2 linked regions of the Rhinolophus ferrumequinum genome follow. The protein of the gene in region 1 purifies or fractionates together with the protein of each later gene. This does not show direct contact. Links are inferred from orthologs where the notes say so. Each region holds a gene or a part of one and is shown on either strand. Other genes may lie near its edges.

Region 1 (11,571 bases):
CATCTGAATACAGATTTGCTGTCCCAGGTCTCTCCAGTATGTCAACCCTTGTATTCCCTGAAACTCCTATGACCCTAACGCTGAAAGAATGGAATCTCTCCTAACACAGTACCTTTCGGCTGTACCTCTAAGGAAAACCAATATTTTTGTAAACACAGATCACTTTCTCTTAGAAACCAATCATTGTCAAATATTCTATATAGCCCAGTTTTCTCAATAAATATTAATAACGATCAAATCAAATTTGCTCCAAGCTGGCATACTAAATATCATTTCAAAATAGGAGGGGGAAAAGTAGGAAAGGCTATCACAAAAGATTTTGTTAAAAACAGGTAAAAATAATTGGGCCCAAAGAAAGCTCCGCCTAAGTACTTGATCCTTTCCTTCTTCCCTGTTCTTAACCCCTACACACACCCACTTTGGCTTTAAAATTATTTGGCGCTGCTGTTACCTCTTAACTGCTAGTAAGTAGTAATAATTACCCAACAAAATAAACCAGACTTTAGGTTTCAACATTGTGGGTGTTTGAGCTTTCTTTCCTCATTAATAAGTATATAACAATACATATTTTTCATATTTTCTGTATCTTTCCCAAACTTATTTTTCACCAAAGCAAAACACTGATTTGTGGCCCCGAATCCCCTTTTGTTAAGTACTGGCAATTTATCTGTGCTTCCTCAATTCATGAAATTTTCCCAAAGTGAGGATCATTTTGTTTATATTTTTAGGCCTTCTTTAGAATAGGCTTATAGGTTGTTTACATCTTATTTCTAAAAGACGAGAGTATAAAAACATCTTAGGGACTCAAAGGTTCATATGAATTGACATGGCCCAACACATTCCTCTTCCTCCTTTTAGCCAACAAAACTTTAGAAACTATCCACTCTTATGTCCAAAATATTTTATTTTGCATTACTTATGCATCTGTGTTTCACAAATGATTAAATTCTTTGAATATTTGTAATGTATCACATGTAACCTCAGTACAAAATTCATCCATTCATTTACTGAACACTTTTAAGAATCAAAACAGTATTTCCTAGGTTTTTAAAATGCAATGATAAATACAGCAGCCCCTTCAACCCAAGCTCAAATGCAGTGGCGGGCACTCTAAGCAATAGCTTACTAAATGCTGTAGGAAGTAGTGCATAAGGTAAAATAAGGCTAAGAAAGAATGAGATCAAAAGTTGAATCCAGCAGTTAAAAAAAAATCTGTAAGATAAAAATACAGTCATTATTCCACACATGAACCAGATGTGTTCATTAGGGAGAAAAAACTGTATGCACATATTTTGTCCCCATTAAACTGGCAAAAACAGTAAACACAAAGCTCCAGGAGAATACCCACAAACACTGGAAGGTAATTTAAATAGCTCCCTAAATGCAAAACAGAACTTCCTTACAAGAGCAAAAAAATTTACAATAAACCTTAGTCGTGATTTTGGTTCTCTACAATCATTTCCCTCTTTCAAAGGGCACAAATCCAGACATTCAGTACCAAGAAAGAAATGACCATCCATATTTTTGACTTAACAAATAAGGTATTATTTGGTTTATTTGACAAAAGCTTCAATGCTAAAAGGCTAAAAGAAATCTATCTACACTTCATGTATTGCAAAGTTCTGTCTATCCCATCCGTTGGCATCTTTCCTAAGCAAATCCATCATTCAGAGTGCTTTTGATTTTATTATTCTTCACTTCATGTCATTTTAGGCACTCCTCTTTTCCTCTAAATTTTCACTGACTGTTGTCTTATACATAAAAAAAGTTAGTTGATTCATATTTTTAATCATGCTATTCTTTAAATTATCATTTTGTTTAAAGCTGAATCCAGCTTTTAAAGCAATGGAAATGGGAAGAGCGAATGAAAGTATGGAGAAAACAAGATTTGCAATGAGTTGAAGATCTATGATAGGAACGTACATTATATTAGTCTTTCTTTTTTTACATGCTTGAAATGCATCATTAAAAAGTTAAAGATTATACAAAGATGACTGTTAGTATTCAGATGTCAAAAATGTCTTTCCAGAAATCCAGTGATACTCAATCTATGAAAAGGAGAAAAGGAAAAAAGGGAAACTTCATATTTTTACAGAAAAATATGAGCCAGTACGTAGAGACAGAATAAGAAGTTTTAAAAAGCCACCATTTGCCACCTCCAATATAATGACTGATTTATTCAAAGATTATCAATTGATAACTAGGTAAAAAGTTAGTGAGGAACACAGTATCAACCCACATTACTAACTGTAAAGGGGAAGATAATCCTTTACAATGAAGCAGTTACCCCAAACAAGTGATCAAACTTAAACATCACCAACAATGGAACAACTTAGCAAGAAGTGCCTTTTGATGTAATGTTATAAAGTATTCTATCCAAAAATATTTAACCTAAATATTATCAGAGCTCTGAGTTTAGTTTTTCAGGAAATACAGACAATGAAGGGGACAAGTTAAATGACAAACACAAAAATCAAATAAACCCAAAAAGTGAGAAATTCTAAAAGTAAACTAGATTCTTCAAATAGACAATATCCTAGGGGAGAAAAAATTGGGAACTATTCAAGAGAAGTAACCAAATAATGCAATGTGAACCTAGATTAGATTCTGATTAAAAATAAAAAACAACAACCAAACCCTATGAATCATGTTCTTGGGACAACGGGGCAAATCTGAATATAGACTGGATTTTAGAAATGATACGATGACAATTTTCTTAGGTGAGAAAATGGTATGATGGTTATATAAGAGCATCAATGCTGAATTATGTGGGGCTGATGCTAAAAATGAGAATGTTGAAATATGTGGTACTGAAATATATGTTGACTTACTTTCAACTAAATATGTATCGGGAAATAAAGCAAATGTGGTAAAACGTTTAACAATTGATTCTAAGTGAAGAATTGTACTATTGGTGTTCATTGCACTTTCAACTTTTTTCTATGTTCTTAACTTTGCACAATAATACTTTTCGATGAGATTTTTTTCCTCTGTAAAATTTCACCACCTCTCTCCCATTTAAAACACCATTTAAAATGTTCAAGGTCATGGCAACATTTCAGTGTCTTTACAATTTTAGATGAACATATTCACAATGAATTCTGGAACCTTTCAGTTAAACTTCACTGCATAGTACTCCTCGACTTTCAGAGGACAAAATATGAGCCCAGAAAGAGGATAAGATTAGATAAACAGATTTGATTTAATATTTTTAAGGCTTTGTATTCTTGGGCATCATGTAAAATGTAAATAAACACTGCAAAGATTTTAGGACTGAAATCAGTCGACAAGTAAACACAAAATTCAATGAGGCAAACTTTCAAGACATAATAAAACTGACAGTCACCCAATATCCCAATAGGAACGCTCCAATTGTGCCTCATCTATGTCAACCTCCACTTTATAAGCTGGAGACTTGAAAAATGAAAACCTAAGTGTATTTCGTTGCTATGGCAATGAGAAATTTCAGAAAATTGAGACTCTGCAGGCTAGTCCAACTCCATTTTAAAAACTATTTACCTAAATATACCAGGACATAAGTCGAAAAACAAATTGAATAACACCTTTCATAAAATATCAGTTTTATTTTTCAAACTAAAAGGTAAACACTATCCTACAAAACTCTAAAGAGCAAAAGAAACAAATCACTAATCAAAAATGTGAATTTTAAAATATTTAAACGTTACTTATATCCATATTAAAACATGCTTTTACAGGGGCCAAAACAGACTTCTCGTTTCCGATCTATCAAATTCTGAAATATCTGTCTCGCTGGAAAACGAAAATCAAATGTGAACAGAAGCGAGAGAAAGCCACAAAATTCCTAAATCGCAGCACAATCACGCTCTACTCCCAAACTGTTTCCTTCATTAGCTCAGGCAAGTCTATTTCCCCAGATTACTTTAGTCTCAAATTATTTCTCAAGCTAGTAGTAACCTATTTTTGAGTACAGTATATATCGGTGAGAGGGCGGAGGGAATATTGTCAAGTTTTTCGAAAACAGCGAGTATACGTTAAAATAATCAATTCCTAAGAACCTAAACATCAAAATGGTATCAAAGGAAGGCATCCAATTAGAGTAGTCCCAGGAGCCTAAAATGGACCAAGCAGCTTCCTGGCTATTGTCTAAATCAATTATTTGTTCATTATTAACGCCTAAAACAGAGAAGCCAAAAAAAAATTTTAAGTCTCAGTCAGACATTGTCCCCCATTTCCACCATCTTCCTGTACCGGGTCCTCCGAGTTCATTAGACCCTTGATCCCTTCCTCAAGCGAACATGGCTGGAGTACTAGGACGAACAGAGACATGGAGAGAAGAGGTCGCCACGAGGCCCCACCACTCTCCTTCCTCACCTGCTCCGTGGCTGCGTCTCCTGACATGGCCTCAGATGATTAGAATGTGCGAACTGGCCCGCGATGCGAAGCTAGAAAGGAAAATTTAAACTAAAAACCACCCCCAAACCAATAAAATTACCCCCTGCCCAGCGGAGCCAGACAGCCAACACGAATTGCCGCCGCCCACTCAGATATGAATTAAAATGGCTGCGCCCCTGCCGGCCGAGAGAGAGGTGTGGCGTTTGTGTTAACTTCCGGGGCAGTGGGCGGGGTTAAGGTCGGAACTCGCCGTTTACTCGGCGCGCAGGAGCAGAGCGATCCCAGGGGGACGGATCCATTGCCTTGATGACGTCACGGCACTGGGCTGGAGAGACTGTTGCTGAACTGGTTGCGACGTGCTGGGAGGCGGGAAACTTTGGATAGAGGCTCGCGCGCCTCTTGGAATTTCATTATCAAGCTGTGGATCCCGGTTCTTCACTGTTGAAGCCTGACTACCAATCAGTTAAGTTCAAGCACACTGGCCATCTTAGGAAGCAATGCTAAGTGTTAAATGCCTCCTGTATTTTGGAAATAAGGAATCTATCAAGGTTTTCTATGGTCTCAGCTAGTGCTTTTTACGCTTCTTGGGGATAAGAGGGACAAATCAAGCCCATATTAATATATTCTGTCACCATCTACTATTGTGTCTAAGACTTTGAAATCAGTTAAGGCCCGCTTTTTAAGCTCAGTATCTCACCTTGGTTCCTCGTCTGCAAAGTGGGAATAATAGCGCTCAGTAACCTTCGGTAATTGAACTTCCCCGTGCCTCAGTTTCCTTGCCAATAGGCAGGAATAACAATAGTACTTGCAATTTTAGTAAGTTATACATGCAGACATGCTCAGAACAATTCCTTGCATTGTCCAAGATTAAGTGAGAGAAAGTCTCGAACTTCTTTTCCATTCACGGATCATAATTATATGTCTCCTTCCACCTCCCTTGCCTGTAGTGGCCTATGCCCCAGACAAAGTGAACTATTCAACTTTTCATGTACACCCCTTATTCTTTCCAGTCTCCCACTATTGCTCATATTTCCATCTCTGCCCTTTGCACAGCCTGAATTCTTACCCTTCCGACTAATCAGACACATGAACAAAAGATGCATATTGACGTGTTAATTTACCATTCAACAACAGAGTACTAGTTAAATATGTAACAAGGTATCTCTACAATGGAATGTCATACAGGCAGTAAGCTGAGCTAATGTACAATTACAAACTAACAGAAAGACATCCATGATATTAAGTGAAAAAGAATACAAAAATAGTATATATTACCAGTATATAGGATGTACAGTATATTATGTATATATTTATATACACTACCTAGATTGTGTCACATAATTTTCCTGTTTGTCTGTGATGAACTAATGTAAGAATAATGCCAAATTCTCATGGATATTAGCTATGCTAATAATTCACCTTCCAAGTGGGTTGAAATCAGTGGGTACTTCTGAGTGAATTAAAAAGCAATCAAAATTTTGTTTTACAATAGCTATCCTTTGAAAGGTGTAAATCATCACTAGAGCTTGGGAATTTGTCCTGTACTACAGTTTATTTAACATTTTTAGAATTTATTTAGTTCATTCCTTTCATTAACTCCCAACATCATTTTAAAGATGAAAGTAATTCTGACACCAAAATTGTACAAGGTTGGCACTTTATAACTAATCCTAAAGCCATTTTTACTTATAAACAAAATTGAAAGAAAATCAAAAATCAAAATCACCAAATTGAAAACAGCACTGAGCTTAAATAAATATATATATATTATATGTATATTTTATATATATATATAATACAAGATAGTTATATTTATCCATAAGGATGGATTAACATTAAGAAATCTATTAACAAAAAAAAAGAGAGAAAAGAGAAAAATCTATTAACAAGAGAAAAAAGAAATCTATTAACAAATATATTGTCATATTAATAATTTTAAAAAAGAAAATTTACCATCTGATATTTATTAAAAAGTATTTGATAAAATTCCACACACATTTATGATTTAAGAAAAGGAAAATCTCTAACTAGGAATAAAAGGAAACTTCCCTATCTCCTAAAAAATATTTCCCAGAAATCTTCAGCAGATCATATTAAATTACAGTAATGGCCACCTTTCACTTGTATTGTTACACTGTACTGGAGGTCCCAGCTAATGCCAAATGAAGTACAAATGTTGGAAAGTAAGACAAATCTGTCAATGGTTTCAAACAATATGATTTTCTACTTAGAAAATTCAAGTAAACCAATTGACAAATTATTAGAAATAATAATAGAGTTCATTAAGGTGGCCAAATAAAAGATTAACTTACAAAAATTAATAGTTCCCTATACTCCAGCAGTAATGGATTAGAAAAAAATGTCATAAATGAAAAGATATGCTCATAATAGCAATGAAAACCATAAAACATCCAGAAACAGCTGTTGTTCTGGTCACCTATGACCTTCCAATTGCCAAATGCAGTAGTCAGTCTTTAGGTCTCTATCTTATTTGATCAACCAGCAGTGATGAAGCTGATCACTCTCTTCTTTTGGAAACATTTTTGTCACTTGACATCCCGAATACACATTTTTTGGTTTTGTCACTACCTCCTTGGCCACAACTATATAGTAGTATACATATACATCTTCTGAGTGATGTTGGCTGAGATATAGATGTATAATGAAAGACAAATAAAATACTATTACCACATATATTGTAATATTTTATTACTACAAATTTTGCCACTTGCAGTGTTTCCATGAATCCCCCAGGTGGCAGACAAATACAATTTCCACTTGATTGAACAAACTTGGTAAAGAATATTACATCCTTACTGCAAATCATTAGAAATATTCATCAGAATTTCAGAGTACAGTCTAAGTATACTTACCATATGATTAAGGAACTAACTTTTCATAACTGACAACAATTTTGTTAGAATCATAAATGGCAATTGTTAAATTGCTGAGCAATCATTGTATTATAATTAGGCACTCTGATAAATATATATTCCACTTGACCCATCATTCTAAACACTTACTGTAGAAATGTATCTTCTGGCTATGGATGCTAATATTGGTCCTTTGTTTGGAATCTGAAAAAGTCAATTAAGCATCACTGAGAATAAAGCAAAAGCTCTAATCAATTGGTTGTATTTTTAAAAAATCTTTGGAGATTTCTATAGTTATTTCTAATTTTAAACTCATGTCAGTTAAAATTGGTCATAAAATGCTGAGTGTATATTATACTTGATATAAGATACCCACTTGGCTGTAAATACGTTAAACATACCTGACATCCTCACCCTCACAGCTATATTTTAATGTTTCAGTCTGCTTTTTATATTTTGATCTATTTTACAAAAAGTTTAATAGGCGCATGACTACAGCTATGTAGAGGGATGGGCAAATATGTTAAAAGCTTGCTTGAGAAGGACACAAATATATCTGCAACTTTGTTTTTTAAAGTATATAAAACACTTTCAAGTAATGAGTTTTCCGTATACATGATAAAATTGCCTGGAATGACTGTTGACTCAAATTGAATTAGAATGTTAATTAAACACATTTACACATAAACACATGTTTTATACATTTCTTAAGTTTAATCTGACTCTACTACTTGAGTCGAAAATGATTTGAAAAGTAAAAATAAGGGCTGATCAGTTGAAAAAAAATCTGGGAATTGTTAAATATATTCATTGTTCTAAATATTTTTAAAACTCTCTTAAATTAGTCAAAGCACTAGAACAAAAATATTGGTTAAAACTGAGAGAGGAAAAAAAAGCAATTACAATGTCAACAATTTGAAAAACAGTTTTTATTTCACACAGTCCCTTTTGTATTCAATTATATGCACACATTTTTTCCTTTTGCGAATACTCGCATATAGTTTTGATTTCTGTGGAGGGCTATTTTTTGTTTTTAAAAATGTGACGACTGGGGCTGCCCGGTGGCTCAGGCGGTTGGAGCTCCATGCTCCTAACTCCAAAAGCTGCCGGTTGCATTCCCACATGGGCCAGTGGGCTCTCAACCACAGGGTTGCCGGTTCAACTCCTCAAATCCCACAAGGGATGGTGGGCATCACCCGCTGCAACTAAGATTGAACAAGGCACCTTGAGCTGAGTTGCCGCTGAGCTCCCAGATGGCTCACTTGGCCGGAGCGTGGGCTCTCAACCACAAGGTTGCCAGTTCGATTCCTCAAATCCCGCAAGGGATGGGGGGCAGTGCTCCCTGCAACTAAGATTGACCATGGCACCTTGAGCTGAGCTGCTGCTGAGCTCCCAGATGGCTCAGTTGGTTGGTGGAGCGCATCCTCTCAACCACAAAGTTGCCAGTTCCATTCCTCAAATCCCGCAAAGGATGGTGGGCTGCGCCCCTTGCAACTGGACCTGGAGCTGAGCTGCGCCCTCCACAACTAAGACTGAAAGGACACAACTTGAAGCTGAACGGCACCCTCCACAACTAAGATTGAAAGGACAACAACTTGACTTGGAAAAAATTCCTGGAAGTACACACTGTTCCCCGATAAAGTTCTGTTCCCCTTCCCCAATTAAAAAAAAAAGTGACGCCTATATTAACTGGTGTGACATAGACATTATACTGCTTCCTATGGCCTCTTAATAAAAGAAGCTAAATATTTTTGTCAGGTAGGGGCACCAGAATCAGAGTCTACCCAATAGATAGACTCCACACTCATGAATTAAACAATCCAATTACATATACCCTACTTGAAAAGCTGAAGCTGGACGAAGAGACAGTAGCGGGGAGGGAGAGATGGAGAAAGAGAGAGAGGAGGGAGGGAGAGAGAAAGAGAGAGAGAGAGAGAAACCAAGTGGATGCTGGTGTAACCAGTCCTAGAATCGTCTCAGTTATGAAGTGGCTTAACATTTTAAAACTATACATGTCCTTACAGTTAATCTTTTTCCCTTAAGACTGAATGAACTTCTGTTCTTTGCCACCTAAAGTGTGACACAACCACATTTTGATAAATTATCAATTCATGCCCACTTTCCCCTTCTTTTTCTGTTCCCTTACCTTTTATGTGAGCTTGTTCACCAAATGATTCATTTGAAATAGAAATAATTTTTAAAAACCAATTTTAACAACTCTGAAAACAACTTGATGTTGCATAAAAATAATGAATATTTTAGAACTTTGCTTCCACGGTTTCATCATTATCCTTAATCCTGGAAACTGTATAAAAGATGTATTCATTTTCTAGTGGAAAAATCTACAACCTCCATAAATTTACATTATAAAATGCCAAGTCTGTTTTCAGGACATGAATCTGGCCCACAAAAGACTCTCAGTAAAGTATGTATGCCTCATAATCTTTGGTGTGATAATACTATTCTGCACAGTAGTATAATACTACCACTATACTCTGCGTGGTGATTTTCATCCAAAGACTCTAGACTCTGTGATGGTCATTTAGTTGTTTACTGGTAATAGTACACAGAAGGATGGAATGTGCTATCCCTGGCACAAACAGTCCTGCTGGAAATTTAGAGAGAATAAAATGTCTCCATACTTCAGTGACTACAGAGAAAACTTTTTGGAAAAGAGAGAAAGCAAAGTTCCAAGAAGTATATATTTATTATCTCTGTGCTGGGTAGCTGGAACTCTTTGTCAATGAGGTCATAGTTTTCATCCCAGTGTGGCTCATTTATCTTTGCTAACTTCCTTAATCATAACATGTACCCCTAACCCCAGCCAACTGCTTGATAAATGTCTCTTCTTGGTCCAAAGGAGGCCTGAAAAGAGCATAAAATAAAATGTGAAAATCCACCACTATAATTGGAAAAATAATTGAAAATGCTTGTCCAACTGACAATAGATTAATAAAGTTACCATTTTCGTCTAGATACTGGTTAGTAGTCATATAGAAAGGCACAGCCTACATATACAGACAATTTCTGAATGATTCTAGATGAATTATTGATTCATCCTAATAGTGATAGGATTTCCCAAATGTGTTTCATTGTGTGTCAATTAATGTACAGATGGAGCCTTATTATTTATTTTTATTTTATAACTGGAAGTTTGTACCTTTTGACCACCTTCGCCCACTTTGCCCAAACCCAACTCCCACCTCTGGCAACCACCAACAATCTGTTGTATCTATGAGGTTGGTTTTTATTTTATTTTGTTTTATATTTCACAAAAAGTGAAATCATACAGTATTTGTCTTTGTCTGACTTGTTTCATTTAGCTTACTTGAGGTCCATCCATATTGTCACAAGTGGCAGGATTTGCTTTTTTTTAAGAAATTTTATTTATAGAATTAAAGACATGGTATTCTAATTATTCTTTAATAATAAAGTTTTAAAGTTATTTTTAATTTTGAAAATTATAAAATTATAGAAATGTAGTTAATACAGAAATGTAAAAGGAAAAAATAATCCAGTTTAAAGAACACTTTAAAAAACCACTATTAACATTCTGCTATTTTACTTTCTAATCATTTTATTGATACTTTAAAATTAGTTATGGTTATTTTATATATGTGGATGTAAGAAATGTCCAAACCTGTAGAAAATTTGTACAACAGTTTGTTAGAGGGGATGGCTGGGTGGCTCGGGTGGTTGGAGCACCGTGCTCCTAACGCCGAGTTTGCCGGTTCAATTCCCACATGGGCCAGTGAGCTGCGCCCTCCACAGCTAAGATTGTGAACAGCTCTCTCTGGAGCTGGGCTGCCATGAGCAGCCAGAGGTTGGCATGGGCTACCATGTGCTGCTATGAGTGGCTGGCAGCCATCGAGAGTGGCCGGCAGCCAGCCAAAGCTGCTGTGAGCGGCCGAGCCGACCGACAACTGGTGACCATCTGCCTCAGCCGGGGGGAACGCAAGGCTCATAATCCCAGCATGGGCCAGGGAGCTGTGTCCTACACAACTAGACTGAGAAACAACGGCTTGAACCGGAGTGGAGGCAGAGAGGTGGAAGAAGGGGGGAAACAAAAAAAAGATTAAAAAAAAAAAGTTTATTAGAGCCAAACTGACAACATATGCTGGGGAACAAGATCTCAAAATGCTCCGAGGATTTCCTTCTTTTTTAATGGCTGAATAATTTCAATTTGTGTGTGTGTGTGTGTGTGTGTGTGTGTATTTCCCTTGTATATAGACCACATCTTCTTTATCCATTCATCCATTGATGGACATTGAAGTTGTTCCCATGTCTTGGGTATTGTAAATAATGCTGCAATGAATGGGGGTGC
Region 2 (10,464 bases), on another chromosome or scaffold:
CTACACCAATATTGGGACAGAAAGAACCTATTTATTAGGTTTACCAGAGTAAAGGAGATTGCTTCTATTATGTCTAATTCATTTTCTAATGCAAATAGTTGTTATAGCTCATTTGGTCTGTGTAAAATCCAAATCCTTTTGGGTGAAATTTATGTGCTCTTAATGGGATTTTTGTTTCCCTAAGACTCTGATAAAATGTTTTGTCCTTCCTTTCTCACCCATGATTTTTGCTATAGCAAATACAGAAATGAGTAAGGCAGTCTGTGTTCAGAATTCCTGGTCTATTGGAAGTGTGTGTGTGCGGGGGTGGGGGTGGCAGTGGGTAAAAGTAGAAGTATAGTGCGTTGCAATATAAAATTGCTGTCAATAATGAAGATATGTATAAAGGGATCCTAGGATAGAGGAGTTCTGGGAACATAAACAAAAGGAAGCCTAATAACTGTGTATCCACCAAGATGCTGATACTGATACCAACCACAGAATAACACATCTTTATAGTTACTTCACTTGTGGAACTATATAATGTATCTAAGAAAGTGATCCTCATCCATCCCTGCAATTTCTTTAGTTTTGTCTTTTATATTAAAAAAAAATATATTCAAGCCCCACGGATCTCTCAATAGGTCACGTGAATAATGCATTCATCAAAAATAAACATATCAGCACAGGTAATAGAGTCAATGGAATTGTAACAGTTATATACGATGTCAGAGGGGTAGTAGATTGGGGGAGGGGGTTATCACTTTGTGAGGGGTGCAAATGTCTAACCATGACGTTGTTTTATACACCTGAAACTAATAAAACAAGAAAAAAAGTGACGCCATCAAGAAAAAAAAAGATTAAAAGAATTCACACACAACAAAATAAACATACCAGATAATAAAGTGAGACTTAATTCTACGTTCTTTTTATTAAGTCTGCATTAAACTTGCAGAGATTTTACTACAACAAAGAGCATAACATTTAATGGTTTTCATTTAGTTCTTCAGTGAAAGCTTTGGGATAAATCAACTGTAATTTCAAAGTAATCAAATCAACTCTGTATGAGTATTATCCAGAACTATCACACATGCACAGAAGAGCTATCCCCTCTAATATAGGGGAAGCATATAAAAACATGGGAAAATTAACAGTATGAACAATAGAAACAGGAATAAAACAGGTAGCCAGGAATGGTGTAGGGATGAAAACTTTGTAAAAAGATAGTGAATTACTAGTTAAGATGTAAAAACCTTGCAAGGGGAAAACATTCCAATTTCCAAGTCTCAGCTCTCTCCTTGTATTAATAACATTATTTCCTGTAACTAGACATTAGTTTTTCTTCTCCAGAGTAAGATCACCTGGTTATTTTGGTATTTATGCTTGTTAATTACCTGTGGTCTATGATGTCCTTATCATCAAGACTTAAAAACAAATCAGGTAGTAGCTCTGAAGGAAATGTGATAAGCCTCACCTTCCTACTGATTTTTAACTGTCTCAATGGTATGTTTATTAGGACTAAATGGCTTTATTACTTATAAAAAAGCAATGTGTAATAACCGAGCAGAGAACTTAGGCTATAAGAATCTCTCTACCTTCTTGGGCCTCAATTATTGTAAGATGGTGACAAATAGATTTTGAAATAAAAAAAACAAACACAAAAAACTAAAAGGCATGCTAAATGTTGCTGAGACTGAGATTTTTAACTCCTGATTCTGGTTGACTACATGGGCATCATCTGTATATGAACACTAGTTACCAAAAAGCAGAGCTTTACTGCATGAAGCCCTTTGCTATTTATGAAGAGCCCAATACTGTGTATAATTCATCTAGATAAACTGGTCACTAGGTATTGATTTTAGCGAAGGATGTGAAAGAGTAACTCTTTCAGATTTAGGGCTTAAAAGACTATGGAGAAATACAAGGTACTGAGAGATACACTGAATCTCATCAGAGCCAACTTAAGTAACCTGGATGATCCTAGAACTGCCCCAGCAAAACCACGTTCAGGGCCAGGCCAGAATACGGCTGGTCTCGTAAGAGTGAGATGAATGGAACATCACACTAGATGCATTCCTTGATTTTTCAGGTAGCATCACTTCAGAAAAGAACAATTCCAATACCACAAATTTAGACTTATCCTGTTAGCTCTAACGTTTCAAAATAATTTCAAAGCACTAAAACAGTGCTTAACCTAATACAGCATTCTACTGCCCCACAAGTAGGATTTTGTATTGTAAATGACTTACCAAAAATATATCTTATAATTTTGAGGTAAACTTCTTTATTTTCTTACGCAACTAAAAATCTTAAACTATCTTGGTTCATTACCATTTTAACAGGTCATCTTTTAGTCTTTATGTGCAGATTTCACATCGTTTTACTCAATATTTGAAAAAAAAATGTAGTAAACATATTGCAGACACTTTTAATATTGCTGCATATTCTTTGTAATCTTATTTGGCATAATATAATTATTTTCAGAATTATTTTTTGTGTATTTATAGTGAATTAAAGTGAACAGACCACTCCCTCTTACTCCTAGCGCCCCCCCCGCCCCCATTAAAAATAAAAAGGAAAACAGAAAAAAAAGACAACAAAAAGAAATGAGATTAGTTCTGGCAGGAGGGAAATCCTAATCATTCAAGTACAGGGGATGCAGAAGTTAGCTTTTTGCAGCCATTCTCCATGCAACAACAACAAACGACAACAACAAAAAAACCAAAAACTTTCTGGGATACTGCCAAGCATTTTTTAAACCTTTCAAGAAGCTCCAGTAGATTTCTGGATTTGTTCCTTTAAAATCAGGATACTCTGCCTTTGCTCAGGAGGCAGCATGGCAATTTGATCTGCAGTCAGTTGAAGAACTTGCATGATCAAAGCTGCCTTTTCTTGATCCTGTGGAGTTACTTGGCTCTGCCCAGGACTAAAACTGCTAGGCTGACCTCCACCTTGCTTGCCAGACCCCTGTATGCCTGTTGCTTGTATGCCTGCCCCCTGCATGCCCACTCCTTGTATGCCCGCTCCTTGTATGCCTGCTCCTTGCATGCCTGTTCCTTGCATGCCTGCTCCTTGTATGCCAGCTCCCTGTATACCTGCTCCCTGCATGCCTGCCCCCTGCATGCCTGCTCCTTGTATGCCTCCCCCCTGCATACCAGATCCAGGATTTCCCACCCCTGAAATGCTTGGGACCTGCCTGGGTCCCTGAGGACCACCTGCCCCCAAATTAATGGGAACAGGACCCTGGATTCCACTGTTCATAGGGCCTCTCGAACTGGGGCCAGGGCCTCGTATCTCCATTCCTCTTGCATCCATGCCTCTTGCTTCCATCCCTCTGGTTTCCATTGCACAGGTCTCCATTCCTCTTCTCTCCATCACTCGTGTCTCTAAGACCTCAGTTTCCATGGCTCGGGTCTCCATCCCTCGAGAATCTCTACCACCTCTGCCATCCATAGGTAGACCCCTTTGATCTATCATGGGTCCTCTGGGCTCTCCAATTAGCAGTCTGGGATCGGCTAATGGCCCTCCCCTCATCTCATGTGAGGAAGGGCCACGGCTGTCATGACCAGGGGCATGGTGCATGGGTGGACCCTGATGTGGTGGCCCAAGATAGCCCCTGGGCTCAACTTCTCCAGTGACTGAAAGCAAAGTCCCTCCACGTGGGTCATTTGGAGCATCTCCTAACAGTCCTCTAGGAGGCAGGCCACCAGCAGTCATGGGTCCACGAGGCATAGGAGCTCTAGGATCTGACATCTGCACCTGTCCCCGCTCTAAAGGCACTGGGCCAACCCCTGGCATTCCAACTTGAGGCTGCATTGCTCCACCAGGAGTTAAGGAACCAGGACCAGGTCCAGGAACTGCAGCTGGTATTGGCCCGGGGGCTGGAATTCCACCCTGGATAGGGGTCTGCATCAGAGGAGGAATATCTTTCACAGGTCTTCTAGCCAAATGCTGAGGCTGAGGTGCTGGAGGAGTCTGCTGGTTCAGCAAAACATTGGGTCCTGGGCAGAGTCCAGGGCCAGGGCCAGGGCCAGAGACGGGACCAGACACAGACTGAGATTTGCCTGGGATCAGTGGTGTGACATGTATCTTGCGATGAAGAATTTTTAGAGCAATCTCTGGATCCATGATTCTCATCACAACTTGTGCCTGCAACAGCGCATAAGCCAGTTGAGGGTTTTGAAGTAACATGTTTCGAGCTTCCTGGTGACTGTTTTGGACACAGAGCTTCATCTGCTTCATCAGCTCAAACATCTGCTCCGGAGGGAGACTAGCGACTGCTCTGGTAATTGATTCAGGAGCATCTTCTGGATCGATGGGATCCCCATACGGGGAGTCAATGATGGGCGCAGCAGGCCCTAGGCTCTTTAACTCCTCCTTGTTCTTTTCACTGGCAGCATTGTCCACCCGAAGCGCTCTCCCGCTGAACTCCCGCCCATTCAAGTTCCGCATGGCACTAAGCGCGGTCTCCTGGTCTTGGTACTCGCAGAAACCATAACCCTTGGGTTTTCCCGTCTCTCTGTCGTATACCAGCCGGAAACTGACAACAGAACCAACCTCCGAAAAAATGTCCTTTAACTGCTCCTCAGTCGCCTCATACGGAATGTTCCCCACGAACACGGAACGCAGTGATCGATCCATTGCCGGGTCTCTCACCGCCAAACTCGACATGATTCCGGCTGTTCAAAACGGCGGTGAGCGGATTCTTCCCAGGCTGTTCTTGCCACCGACACTTCCGCTGAGCAACGGAAGCGGCTCTCCAAATCCGGGCAGAAACGTCACACGTCCGTTTACATCGTTCCGCTTTTCGGTGGAATCTGCACCTCTACGTTCCACTACATTAGCTAATGGTTTCTGATCCTGGTCGTACGTGGTTCTGTCAGCACCTTATTTCTGAGACTCATAATTCCATTTTCGCCTCTGATTCCGCAGACTTTCGTGGCGCGGCACCACCCCCGCCAGGGAAAGTTTGGTGCGCGTTAACCACAGTAAAGATGGCCGCATAGACTTCACCATGGTAACAAGGAGAGGCCGCCTCCCTTTACGTCAGAGCGGGTTTTGCTTCCGTTTGACCGGCGGGAAACCGCCAACTGAAAACGGATTGAGGCAGCTCGTTCCTCCTTCTGATACGAGTGTTTGCACATAGCAGTTTCTCATTATTATAGTATATGTAAGCTACATTTAAAATCACATTCCAGACTTCAAGTGAAAAGTGTCGTTTCAAAACAGATTTGGGATTTTCTCCTTCAAATACAAAATTTATAGCTCCGTTTTAGGAAAAAAAAAAACACAACAGTTTGGGAAAATAAACTGCCCAGAAACAAGCCGAATGTGTGCCAGCTCCAGCCCCGCCCCATCGCGTTGCTTAGGAACACAGCCGTTGATAGGCGGCCGGTCCCTTCAAGTTTTTCTTTGTGCGCGCAGGCAGCAGTGGAGCTATGCATAATACTACTTGTTTTCTTTAACCGATATTAATATGAATGATTAACAATAAATAGCATTTTATGGCTGCAGAGTATGAATTAAATTTAACCTTTCTTACCTTGTAGGCATTTAGATTGGTCTGATAACTGTAAAGTGAAGTAATAGGTAATTTCAAAACCACTACTATGAAACAAAAAACAAACTATTTGTTTCTATTATGCTGTTAATTTTGACGGCAGAAGTTGAGTATACATAATGGAGTGGGGTTTTTTACCCCCACCTACTACACACGACAGAACTGGTAGAGCTGAAGCTTGGAGAGGGCTAGGTAATTTGCTAGGCAACCACTAAATGGCAAAGCCAGAATTCTCATCCAGGTATGGTCTGGCAGCTCCAGAGCTGCGCTGCCCCAATTGATAGCCACTAGCCACTTGGAGCTCTCGAGTACTGGAAATATGGCAGTGTGACTGCTAAATTGAAATTTTAATTGTATTTATTTTTTATTGATGTGAAATAAAAACTGATACTCAGCGAGGCTACTGGAAAACTTTTTGGTGTGTTTGAAACAAGTTGGGTTTAGAATGTACTTTAGCAATGATAAATTTTATGAAATCTAAATGAAAATCAAGTATTTCTTGTGAAAATTTAGCATCCTAATTGAAGTGTGCCGTATGTGTAAAGTACATGGAAGATTTTAAAGACTATAAAAAGTGTAAAATTATATCATTAACTTTATATTATTTACATGTCGAAGTAATATTTTTAATATGTAGGATTAAACAAAATATAATTTATCTCTCATTTTACTTTTTAAAATGTGGTTGCTTAGAAAACTTAAAATTACATATATGGATTACATTATATGTTTGTGGACTGCACTGCTCCAGAGCCTGAGTTTTAACTACTAAACATAGAATCATTACAAAGACTAGAGTAACTACGTATGCTTTTTGAGGGGATTATGAAACTTTGTTTCATCAAAAATTGTTTTATGTGTCTTGAGTATCATCATCACTGAGTGGCCAGAATTACAAAGAGCTATTAGGAACCTATGTCCAATGAATATATCTGAAATGAGTATGAGGTTTAGCTACAAATATGGTGAAGCCTTCATTTACCTTCAAATGTTTTAATTGTTCTTTAAAACAGACTTGGACATAGCTATTCACGCAAGACACATTGTAACTGATATCTGCAAGTGATAAAGTGCATTTATATCACCTATTAAAATCTTTCTGCTCTATCAAAAGAAACAGAATAGAGCCTAGTAGTAATGGTTTTCCCCCCTGATTCTTTTATTGGAGGCAGGGTGGAGGTGGAAGGGAGTTGAGGAAGATGTCATTTTGGAAAACTAAAAACAAGTACATTTGTCTCCTTTCCATACTATCTCTTTAAGGAGAGAAGCCATGACTTTTTTACACACATTCGGTCAGACAATTATGTGTGAAATTGTGTGTATGTTAAATGTAGTAATCATGAAGATAGCAATAGGCTATTAGGATAAATTATAAAGTTCATAAAAGGTTGCACAGCTTATCTGACAGTTGCTGTTTTTTTGTAATTTTTATTGGTGAATATTGGGGAACAGTGTGTTTTTCCAGGACCCATCACCTCCAAGTCAAGTCGTTGTTTTCAATCTAGTTGTGGAGGGCACAGCTCACTGGCCCATGTGGGAATTGAACCGACAACCTTGGTGTTATAAACACTGCACTATAACCAACTGAGCCAACCCGCCGCCCTGACGTGACAGTTTCTTTACTGATGCTCTGATAATAGCTAAACCAGCGGTCTTCATACGTTAGCATACATCAGAACCACCTGGATCCATGGCTTAAGTCAGATCGCTGGGTCTCTTCACCTCTCCTCCCCAATTCGGACTCAATATTTCTGAGGTAGGAGTGGAGAATTTGCATTTCTAACGAGTTCCCAGGTGATGCTGACGCTGCTGGTTAGGGGATTTCACTTTAAGAATCATTGTTCTAAACAAAGGGACTTGAAGTGTTTATCCACTTTTGTTTTCATCATTTGTATCAGGACAAAATTTAGTGCACTCTGTTAAAAAGTATAAGATATGGATGGTCTTTAAAAATTATTAATACTTTAATGCTGATCTAGTAACACTAGTACATGCTGATCCCACTCTGAAGATACCCTGGGTTCAAAGGATGTGTGAACAGAATAGCTGAGGGACTGGGGATGAACAAGAGGGAAGAAGCCTTTTTGTCATCGGTCTTCCATGTTCTCTTTAGTCCTCATATTCCAAACTAGAAGAATGGTTTGATATGGCTCCCTAGAAGATATGGCCTTCTCCTTAGAAAACCATACATGGTTTGATATGGTCTTCTCCATAGAAGACCAGTGTGTTCCAGCACATAGCTCAATGCTCAGGACCAATAAACTAATATTTATTATTAACTGAGTGGCCCAGAATTACAAAGAGCTTTTAGGAACCTATGTACATTTCCTGGTAGCATCATAGGTTTACCCTGGAAGAACTTACATTTTATACTGCTTTTTTTGTTCCCATAATGTTTAAAGTTTAGATATTTATAGCATGACATATACTCTGAAGAAAAATGGATGTGGCATCTTGCATGTTCAGGCATTGATCCAATAAATCAAAATATCAGCTGTACTAAGAGTGATTTTTAAACAAACACATCAAGGCATATGGCCAAATGGGGGCTATCCTTCAAACTAATCACCTTCAGAAACTGGAAACTTAATCCATTTGGACTTCTGTTGTTCAAAATGATTTCTAAAGTCCTATTCTAAAGTTGTTTTAGGGCTCCATTTTTATGTCATACTAGAAAACTGGTGCCTTAACTCGAAGGTATACCTTGTTTTCAACCAAGAACAGAGTTATGTAACTAAATCACCTAAATGTCTGACCAGATGTGGTAAAAATATATTAGCTCTTTCCAAATATCAAGACATACATCAGAATATAAAGATTCTGTATCCTTTGAGCATACTAACAGAGATTCACTATAGATTAATTAGATTCCAAAGAGAGGTACTAAAAAATATTTTTAGTTATGACATTTTTGAAATAAATGTGTGGGTCCCTATACACAGAGATAGATCAAAATACACTCCTACACAAAGTTCTCTTTAATCTTCTTCCTCCTTCCTCTAGATTGGAAGTAAGTTCATTTTTCTTTGGATATAAACCATTCTTTATCTGTACCTGGCGAATGAGAGTAACTTTTCTACCTTTTAGTAAACCATATCATTCAAGGAAAGAGCAAAGATGGATTCTTCTTGTCAATCAACAAAGTGCCTTATATTAATTCTTTTATTCCATAAATACCGGGGGTGCCAAAAAAATGTATATGAGTGGACACTTTGTGAGCGTTGCTCAAGCGATAGTTTGCCGTAATCAGAAATGTCTGAATGCTGATGGTAACCACTTTGAGCACCTCTTGTACTTACAGAAGTCAAATGTGACTTGTATTAATCTTTTGCTATTGGTATATATTGAGTATTACAATTTTAATAGATTTTTTTCCTTTCTTAAAATGTGTATACATTTTTTTGGCACCCTCTGTATTTATCCTAGGCATTGGCAACACAACAGTGTAAAAGACAGCCTTTCCACTAGAACATGTGTTCTCTAAGTGTTGTTTCTGGACCAGTATCGTGAGCATCACTTGGAAACAGAAATGCAAAAATTGGGGGCCCTACTCCAAACCTACTGCATCAGAAACTTGGGGTGGGGGGGGGGTTGTACATGTGTATACTGAAATTTATTTTAACAAGCTCCCCAGGTGTTTCTGATGCAGGCTAAACTTCAAGAACCAGTGAAATAAGGAGAGATAATCATAATGAATAGGTTAGGTAGGTAGAGAGAGAGAGAGATAGATAGATAGATAGATAGATAGATAGATAGATAGATAGATACTTGGTCTTCTTCACACTGTATCCTCATGACCTAGGAAATAGCTTAGCACAGGTGGGCGCTCATTATATGTGGAATGTATGATGAGAAGTGACTTCAGTTGGCTAATTCACAAACCCTTCATTTTGCAAAGGAGACACTCTGCATTAAATAACATGCCCATAAAAAGAATGAGCACCTGCTGCTAGGACCCTTCTCATTTTATACCTAGGTCAGTGACAGTTGTTCCATGTTGTTATTTGATAAATGGATATGCAGTGAAGTATGTAGAGATGGAAGTAAGTGATAGAGTCTGTATCATCAAAGACATCTTGCTGAGGGAGCTGGGATTTAAGGGATGGGTTATAATCTGGTATATATAAATAGAAGACAAGGAGAATTAGCCAAGAGATAGGGATAGACAAGACATGAAATTGGAACCTAGTGTTTTTTGATGCCCTCAGAGGAAACTAATAGAGAGTTGGTGAATGGTGTGATAAAACATTGTCTTTTGGGACAGGTTACAAAAAGGTTTTGAAAATCAGATTCACGAATCTAAACTTGATGTGAGAGTCAGTAGGCTTTCTTCCATCTTTCTGAAACAATGAACATAGAATAATAATGGCAGAGGTTTAAGAATACCAATCTTATACAGTCCTTCTCCGTGAACTTGGACATTCTTTTGAACTTGGACATTCTTTTTAATCCATTCTAATTTTACATCTAAAGTGTGGCCATTTATCTTCCTGCTTTTAACATCTTCTATAATGTGGCTTCATTCTCATTACTCACCCATCCCTTTCATACATTCCCCTCTGGCTAAATTGTACCACTCATTTTTTGTAGTTCTCATAGGATTTGTGCTTTTCCACCTCCTAGATTTTGATCATGCTATTTCATTTTGTTGAGGATGCCTTTTTCCTCTCCTCATCACCCCACACCAATGCTTAAATCATTCTTGTCCTTCAACACTTACCTCAAAGAATTTTCCTTTTAGAGTAGAACATTGATTTGGCACCAATGCATTACCTTCTATCTTGTATTAGAGTTACCAATATTCTTTTTTTTCCCCCTAAACTTTTATTTATTTTAAGTGTGTTTTTTGGACCCATCAGCTCCAAGTCAAGTAGTTGTTTCAATCTAGTTGTGGAGGGCACAGCTCACACTGGCCCAAGCAGAGA

The links.
Region 2: the proteins of CSTF3 (region 1) and CSTF2T purify together in Homo sapiens (co-immunoprecipitation; 4 studies listed by BioGRID and IntAct, counting the BioPlex papers as one, with this or other methods). This does not show direct contact. The link is inferred for Rhinolophus ferrumequinum from reciprocal best matches to the Homo sapiens genes CSTF3 and CSTF2T.

Annotation. Positions count from the first base shown.
Region 1 is NC_046294.1:24,518,659-24,530,229, reverse strand, and holds the start of CSTF3 (cleavage stimulation factor subunit 3), read right to left. Parts: upstream 4,548-11,571; 5' UTR 4,381-4,547; coding exon 4,354-4,380; intron 1-4,353. UniProt on the Homo sapiens protein: One of the multiple factors required for polyadenylation and 3'-end cleavage of mammalian pre-mRNAs.
Region 2 is NC_046299.1:34,701,220-34,711,683, forward strand, and holds CSTF2T (cleavage stimulation factor subunit 2 tau variant), read right to left. Parts: upstream 4,927-10,464; 5' UTR 4,651-4,926; coding exon 2,743-4,650; 3' UTR 2,378-2,742; downstream 1-2,377. UniProt on the Homo sapiens protein: May play a significant role in AAUAAA-independent mRNA polyadenylation in germ cells. Directly involved in the binding to pre-mRNAs.